2 linked regions of the Bombyx mori genome follow. The protein of the gene in region 1 interacts with the protein of each later gene in a pairwise test. Links are inferred from orthologs where the notes say so. Each region holds a gene or a part of one and is shown on either strand. Other genes may lie near its edges. The genes, in order: exocyst complex component 8 and WASH complex subunit 1.

Evidence for each region.
Region 2: the proteins of exocyst complex component 8 (region 1) and WASH complex subunit 1 interact in binary tests that used the Homo sapiens proteins (3 or more experiments, as listed by UniProt). The link is inferred for Bombyx mori from reciprocal best matches to the Homo sapiens genes EXOC8 and WASHC1.

The regions. Positions count from the first base shown.
Region 1 is NC_085122.1:6,420,022-6,423,954, forward strand, and holds the start of exocyst complex component 8, read right to left. Parts: upstream 2,369-3,933; 5' UTR 2,110-2,368; coding exon 64-2,109; 3' UTR 1-63. UniProt on the Homo sapiens protein: Component of the exocyst complex involved in the docking of exocytic vesicles with fusion sites on the plasma membrane.
Region 2 is NC_085123.1:3,001,288-3,004,912, forward strand, and holds part of WASH complex subunit 1, read right to left. Parts: exon of another isoform or gene 2,173-3,625; intron 2,095-2,172; 5' UTR 2,058-2,094; coding exon 1,683-2,057; intron 1,601-1,682; coding exon 1,301-1,600; intron 1,218-1,300; coding exon 880-1,217; intron 1-879. UniProt on the Homo sapiens protein: Acts as a component of the WASH core complex that functions as a nucleation-promoting factor (NPF) at the surface of endosomes, where it recruits and activates the Arp2/3 complex to induce actin polymerization, playing a key role in the fission of tubules that serve as transport intermediates during endosome sorting.

The sequences.
Region 1 (3,933 bases):
ATTTAAAGCTTCAGCATAATATAAATAATTTCATACATCTTATTTATAGACTATTGACTATTCTCATAAATATTCATTACTTGTGTATTTTGTGATGTTTTTGGATGGTGTAATACTGACACCATAGTTCTTTGCCAAAGCTACTAATTTCTCATTATCATAGCCAACTTCTTCTTTATAACATCTAAGCATTAAAGGCATCACTGTTTCTAAAATGAATTTGAAATTCTTCTTTGCATAACTAATATCGTTGACTGATGCGAGGACAAGCCATGAATTGAATATTGTATAAATGTATTCATCAAGGTTATCCATCATATCTTTGTTCACTAACTGGAGACCTATTTTCTGTATAGTGACAATAGACTTTGTAAACCATATGGTACTACTTGATAAATCTACCCATGTTTCATTAATTACATACTTAGCTAATATAAGGCCCAAAGTTTCCATTTGTTTCAGGAATTTATTGACACCTGCTTTGGTGTGCATATTCACTGGAGTCCATTTGTCTTCAGTGATTTTATTTTTCATAGAGTCAACAGTCTTCTCTTTATATTCTCTCAAAGCTTTTATTATTGGTGTTCTCAAACAACTGTTCAACTGGAATCTTAAATCTAAACCAAATTGACAAAACAATGTACATTGTTCCCTTAGACTCTCAACACAATCCTGAACGGAATCTAATGCACACTGAGGTGTGAACACTTGTTTTATAATCTGACTCATCAATATCCTAAGTTGCAGACTAGCCCAGACTATAAAAGCACTTATTTTATTTTTAGGAAATAGTGAAATAAACTCTGTTAAGGCATCACTCAATGAGCAAAAAAACACTTCACCCACTTGTTTGACATAAGTGTTAATTGACCCTTCCAGTTGCACCCTTTTCACATGAACTTTGACTGTGTAACTGCATATCGTCAAAAACAAGTCACAAGCCTGACTGGTCATATTAAACTTATTGAGTATCAGTACCGGTTGTCTAGTTGATTGGAGACCTCCTCGCAAACTCCAATTATGTGTTACATCTAAATCTTTCAATAATATTTCAATTAAACTCTTTTGCTTCTGTTCTATTTTTTTCAATATATCAACCCTTTGTGGATGGTTTTTAAAATCTTCAGTATTTAAAGCTTTTTGAGCTGAAACCATCAACTCATAGGTCTTTTGAAAATGTCTCTCCACAATCAAAACATCAAGCTCTTCAGTAACATCAGCCAACCACTCAGGCAATGGTGTAATTTGGGGTGATGGCATCTCTTCCACAGACAGACTCGGTGATTCAATAGATTCAGATTTTGATTTTTCTTGACTATCTTTTTTCTTCTGTTTAGAATTTTCTTTTTCAATATACAGTTTTTTTGCTATCTCAAATTTGTCTAGCCAATCTTTTTTTATCGCAAAACTATTGCATTGAAATACTCTGGTGTCTGGGAAGGCTAACACTTTAAATGCTTGTTTCACAGTTCCTAAATCTCTTACATTCACCACTGCTAAATTCTTTATTGGGTAACTCACTTGAAACTTATATCTCATTGGACCACGTCTGTTAGAAATCCAGGATGTTAACATAAGGCAGTCATTAAATAAATATACATGCATTCTTTGTAATGCAGTATTTTCTTCTGCATCTATTTCTAGCAAGTCACCTTCATGAAGCAGAGTTCGGTCTGGGACATCTAACAGATTCATGCATGATTCTACCTTTTCTGTAATGAGATTTAATTTATTTTTTCGTTCCTCTTCTGCCCTCTCAGCCTCGACGTCGTGATTATCAAGAGACTCGCGTGATAAACCGTTCTCGTTACCGAGGATTGAGGCGTGGGAGAGCACAGTCAGCACAGAACGCTGTTCGCTTAACAAATGCGATAGCTTGTACATTTCTGTTTCGAGGTGGGATATCTCCGTCGCAGTCTCGATAAACTGCATATAATTCTCGTAGACATTTTTCTTTAGGGCACTTGCGGTTTCTTCGGCTAAATTTTGTATTTTCTCCTTCTGTTGCTGTAGCTCCTCCCCTCCGACGCAGGATCTAGCGAGGTCTTTTACGTAACGTTCGGGGACGAAGTCTGGGACAGCAAACTTATCCATATCTATCTCGGACATCGTTGCACATGTATTTATTGTATACTTCTTTCGTATTTATCACAAAACACTGGCTCGCACATCATTCGATTCTATAGGTAGGTATCGAACGACAGGACGTTTTCTATCAAAACGATATGTCAAAAATGCGTTTTGTTATCTCAGCTTCTTTTAAAGTCAGTTTGTTGGCAACGCGCTGCCAACGTTGCTATCAAAACGTTTTCTCAAATTTTATGTACAGTAGACGCGCGAGCTTGTCCATCCTGAGGAATGCGGTAGTGCTGTGACCTAGTTAATTATGGTAATGTCGATAATAACTACCGATTTAGTCAACAGCTGTCAATTTGGTTTAATGTAACCAGGTCACTTCGCAAATTATAAAATAAATGCGATAAGTAATGACTTATTTCTTCCTAATAGAGAAAAATATTTTTTAAATTCCAATTCAACTACTATGAGATGAAAAGACAACCAACAGATCAGAGTCCGAATCAGTGTAGGTTTTTTTCTACCTGAACTTGTTGGAAGCGGAGTATTCGTGGTTTATTCACCATGAAATAACACAATAGCGTTAGCGTAAGTTTTTGGTATCGATAAGCGCGCGTCACAACTGTCAAAGACAACACTAGACGTCAAACAAACGCGGGGAGGCGGGGCGAGCTGCCCCCTGCGCGTCGCCTCCGGCCCCGATGTACATGAACTCGCGCGCATACTGTATAGTAATCGGCACGAGTTGTGAGCTTTCGACAAAAGATTTGGGGTCATCTGCCCATCGTACAATTAGAGTCAAAATAAATGGTCCACTTATGTATTTAATATATTTTTTTATAATTAAATTAACTTCGTTCAATTTGGGATTTAAAAAAATATTGTTATGTAATTATGTATTAGTATTTTTTATACTATTAATTTTTTTATTTTTTTTTTTTATTTATTGCTTAGATGGGTGGACGAGCTCACGGCCCACCTGGTGTCAAGTGGTTACTGGAGCCCATAGACATCTACAACGTAAATGCGCCACCCACCTTGAGATATAAGTTCTAAGGTCTCAAGTATAGTTACAACGGCTGCCCTACCCTTCAAACCGAAACGCATTACTGCTTCACGGCAGAAATAGGCAGGGTGGTGGTACCTACCCGCGCGGACTCACAAGAGGCCCTACCACCAGTAATAAAACTGGATCCAACTTATTAATGGATGTTATGAAAAGTAACATCTAGACTATTCTAGACGTAACACCTACCCACCCAAAAATTCAGCTAAGGGCCCACCTGGTGTTAAGTAGTGTTAAAGACATCACAATCTGAAACAACCTAGAGAAACATAAGTCTTAAGGTATCAAAGTCTGCTTTGTATTGTATAATGGCTGTCACACCCTTCAAACTGGAACACATGACACCTTCGAGGCAGGAATAGATTTTAATAATGGCCCTTACCCGTGCGAGCTAACCCTACATTCTGCCACCCATAAATCTACTGCGATGAGTGCTTTGCAGCAGAAATAGGCAGGGTAATGGGCTGGGTCATAAAACTTAAATAAATTATAATAAAAAAGGCATCCTGAGGGATTTCAATACCTGCTTGACGATGTCACTCGATGCGAGTACGCCGTATCTAATGCATTAGGCCCTCGAGTCATTTACTTGAAGCTATTCCAAAGGTACTTCTTACTTTTTATTTTTTTATTGCTTAGATGGGTGGACGAGCTCACAGCCCACCTGGTGTTAAGTGGTTACTGGAGCCCATAGACATCCACAACGTAAATGCGCCACCCACCTTGAGATACAAGTTCTAAGGTCTCAAGTATAGTTACAACGGCTGCCGCACCCTTCAAACCGAAACTCT
Region 2 (3,625 bases), on another chromosome or scaffold:
ATGGTCTGCATTAGCGCCTTCGAGATACGATTCTGAAGAAAAAATACGGAACATTCCTTGGCTCATCGTACTAAGGTTATTTTGTACGCTACCATCTTTGGGGTACTAAAGGACTTTGAGCACAGTGCTAAGAAGAAGTGGCAAACTTGAGAAGCTCATGGCCGTATGTAGGGTTGACTTAAAAAGACTCACACAACGAAGCCCGCCGCGTTAAATAGGTAATATAACCCAACTGCAAACCGATTACTTACTTGGAAAATTGGACCTGGGATTGTTTAACTTTATTGGCATTCATTAGTTATATAAAAATAATCACAGGATTTATAATAATACACATGGTCAAATTTTGTAGTTTTTAGAAATATTGTTATTAATGATATAACCAATCAGATTTCACACAAATGACCGAAAGGTCAAGGAGAGAGAGAGATAAATATATGGACATTCAAATTAATCTTAATGTTTTTGTCGTGTTTACTGTGTACACAGTTTCAATGGATCGATCCGTTGTATGGCGCGTGTATGTAAGTAATTAATACAATTACGGTGGCCCGTCAAAGGTTAAAATACAACACGGTTTGTTAGCATCAACGGTAAAATAACGCAAAAAACGTTGCGCTTCCACGGTTTTTATTGCTTTAGAATTGTCTTGTACACTGTTTCTCAACCTGAGAGTCCTGTAGCCCCCGCTTTTAGTTTTATGAAGGGCCGCAATATCATGCAAAAACTTTGAAAGAGGTCGAACATTTCCTAAAGTTGCGCAACAAATAAAATAAGTTTGGTAAGTATGTACACGATTATCCTCATCAATACTCGAAATTTGTATGCAAAAGTGTTCTTTTGTCCTAGATTAAATTAATCAAATATGAGAAATCTTACCGTTTTGATGGTGTGAGCTCTACTTCCTTCATAGGCGGCGGCGGGGGCGGAGGCGGTGGCGGGGGCGGCGGTGGTGGCAACGCTTGCACACTAACAGGAACCGGTGACGGAGGAGCGTCCGGTATATCTGGTATAGCCACGGGCTCTGGTTTCACGTCAGGTAGTTCCTTTAGATCGGGCAACTCTGGTAATTCCACCTCAGGAATGGCGATGATCGGCGTGACCGGTGACGTCACGACAGACGGGGCTATAGACCCTTCAGTCGCGATAGTATATTGTATGTCCTCAGCGATTCCTGGAAGATGCGGTAAATCCAACGGCATCTCCATTTCGGGTACCTGTTTAATTTTTATAGTGTTATAAAACGCTCCGATTTGTCATAGCATCCATCAACCGAATAACATTTGCTACTTTCACTTACCATTCCCATCCCAGGTGCGTACATGTATTCGTCTACTTCGCGCTTCAAGACGTCTTTCTTCATTATAGACGAAGGTGCCGCTTCTATTAGACTCTTATTTTCAATATTCGATTTCTTGATGACCGGTTTGTAGGTTGGTGTTTTAGAGGTAACACCGAAGTAAGGGCTTTCATCGGTGTTAAATACTAAAAGTTCACCGATGGTTTCCAGGTTATCAATAACAGCGTTCAAACTAAAATCTTCATCGGGCTTGAGTGAATTAGGTTCCGCAACTTTAACATGATAGAAGTGTAGCTTCTCCTACGAGATCAATTAATGACAATAACAATTATGACTCGAAATTTTGAACGAACATTATTTCGACAAAGACAAGCGTTCTTACCTGTATTCTTTTATCATCAGATGGCCCCCGAGTTTTAGCACTCAGTTTAACATTTTTAGGCACATGTTGATAGCCTTCCAAATCAAAGACGGATCGATAATGCTCGTGCGTTATTGACGACGGGTACTTTGCACTCGAGAACACTTTGATGGCTCTCTGCATTCCAGTCAGTTTTTCAACTTTAAGCCTAGAGTTTTCGATGCGTTCATTCAATTTTGCGGTTTTATCTACATTCTGCTTGATTCGCCGCGTTAAGCGAGAGAACACGTCTTCCACTATCCCATTGAGATTATCAATAGTGTCAGCAATCTGAAGGATGGCTTCTTCAGTGCTCAAGTCGCTTGGCACAAGATTAATTTTGTAAATACCTTCCATAATTAATCTTTGTTTAGCGAATACTTTATATCAAGATCTGTAACAAACCAATTAGTCCATAAGATTCTGTTAAAACCGCTTTAAATTCTCCTGTTTTTAAACATATGACTCTTACCTATAAAGCTTCCTATGATCACCTAAAATAAATTAATAAGGCACAAGAATTATCACTAGACACATTCATTCCCAAATGTAAAATAATATTATGTCCAATTTTTATAGCACGTTATAAAGCTCCTAAAGTCAATTATTTACATCTTGGTTACTAAATTAAATATATATATATATCACTAATGATTGACTCCGTTTTTCGATGAATTTAATCTAGGCGAATCGGCGAGTAACGAATGAATGTTGTCATTGGCTGGATCGGTACTCCATGAAAATCTGCAGTACGCGTCAGGCGACATTGCAGGATCCAAAATAGCCGATTCTTCGCCACAATGAACACCTGATAGCATATTATTCAGGTGCTTATTAATAACAGCGTCACCTTGGCGGACGTAGCCGGTAGACGCTGGCGTCTTTAATGGCACTGTACTTCGGGCAGGATGTTTGTGTCTGGGCAAGGAATCTAGAGATTGCAGTTGAATGTAGCTGCTGTCTGCAGTGTGTTTCGCTGGTGGCAAGGTTTGCATTGTTGGCAAGCTTTCAGGACCAAACAGTTTGTTCGTTGTCTGCCCCAATTTCGGGAAATTCATTGCTGATATAGTTTGAGCACCTTCAGGGTGCACATAGCCTCCTGCTGATTGTGAACTCGTTACGCAAGGTTGAGCAACACGTGTCGTAAATATAGGTGGAGACAGAGCTGCCATTACATAACTAGAGCTGGCACTGAGTGATGAGGGTTGTGGTGGGTTTGTAACGCCTGCTTGAACACTTTGAACATATCCTGTATTAGGACTCACTACAGATTGTTGCACATAGCCACATGGATTTTTCTTGAAAGTATTATCATTAAAGAATGGTGACGGTATTTGTGATGTTTCAGTTTCGGAATTGCATGATTCGCCATCGATGTTACTGTCAGCTGTTCTCGTAGGTTCTACTTCAAGATGTAGTGATGAATTAGATCCATCATCAGATGAGGAGATTTGTCTTTCTACAGGCCCATGTGATGTATCTGATAAAGCTGTACTATCAGTGTGATCACTAGAAGCACTGTTATTGTTTTCTTTCTGTTTCAATTCTGAAGATACAGTGGTTCTACTATTTGGTAATAGCAACATTTCGTCTGAAGATGGTTTCTCATCCTTGTTTGTAGGATTCCAACCACCAATAGCATATTTCGAAATATCCTTTTCGGGGACTCCTAGTCCACTTGGTAAAACTGGTTTAATATCTTCCATTTTTCGGTATTTCTTGTAACATTTAATAAAACCATACATAATACCAATTATCATAAATATTCCCATTAAAATAAGAGTTAGTGTCACATGTTCTTTGCTTGTACAATTTACAAAACTTGGCTCACTCCATTCTCCAGGATATTCTAGTATACCTTTATAGTTAGCATTATGTAGGTATACATCCTTATTGTCAGTTAAAGCACCGTGGTAAGGATCTTC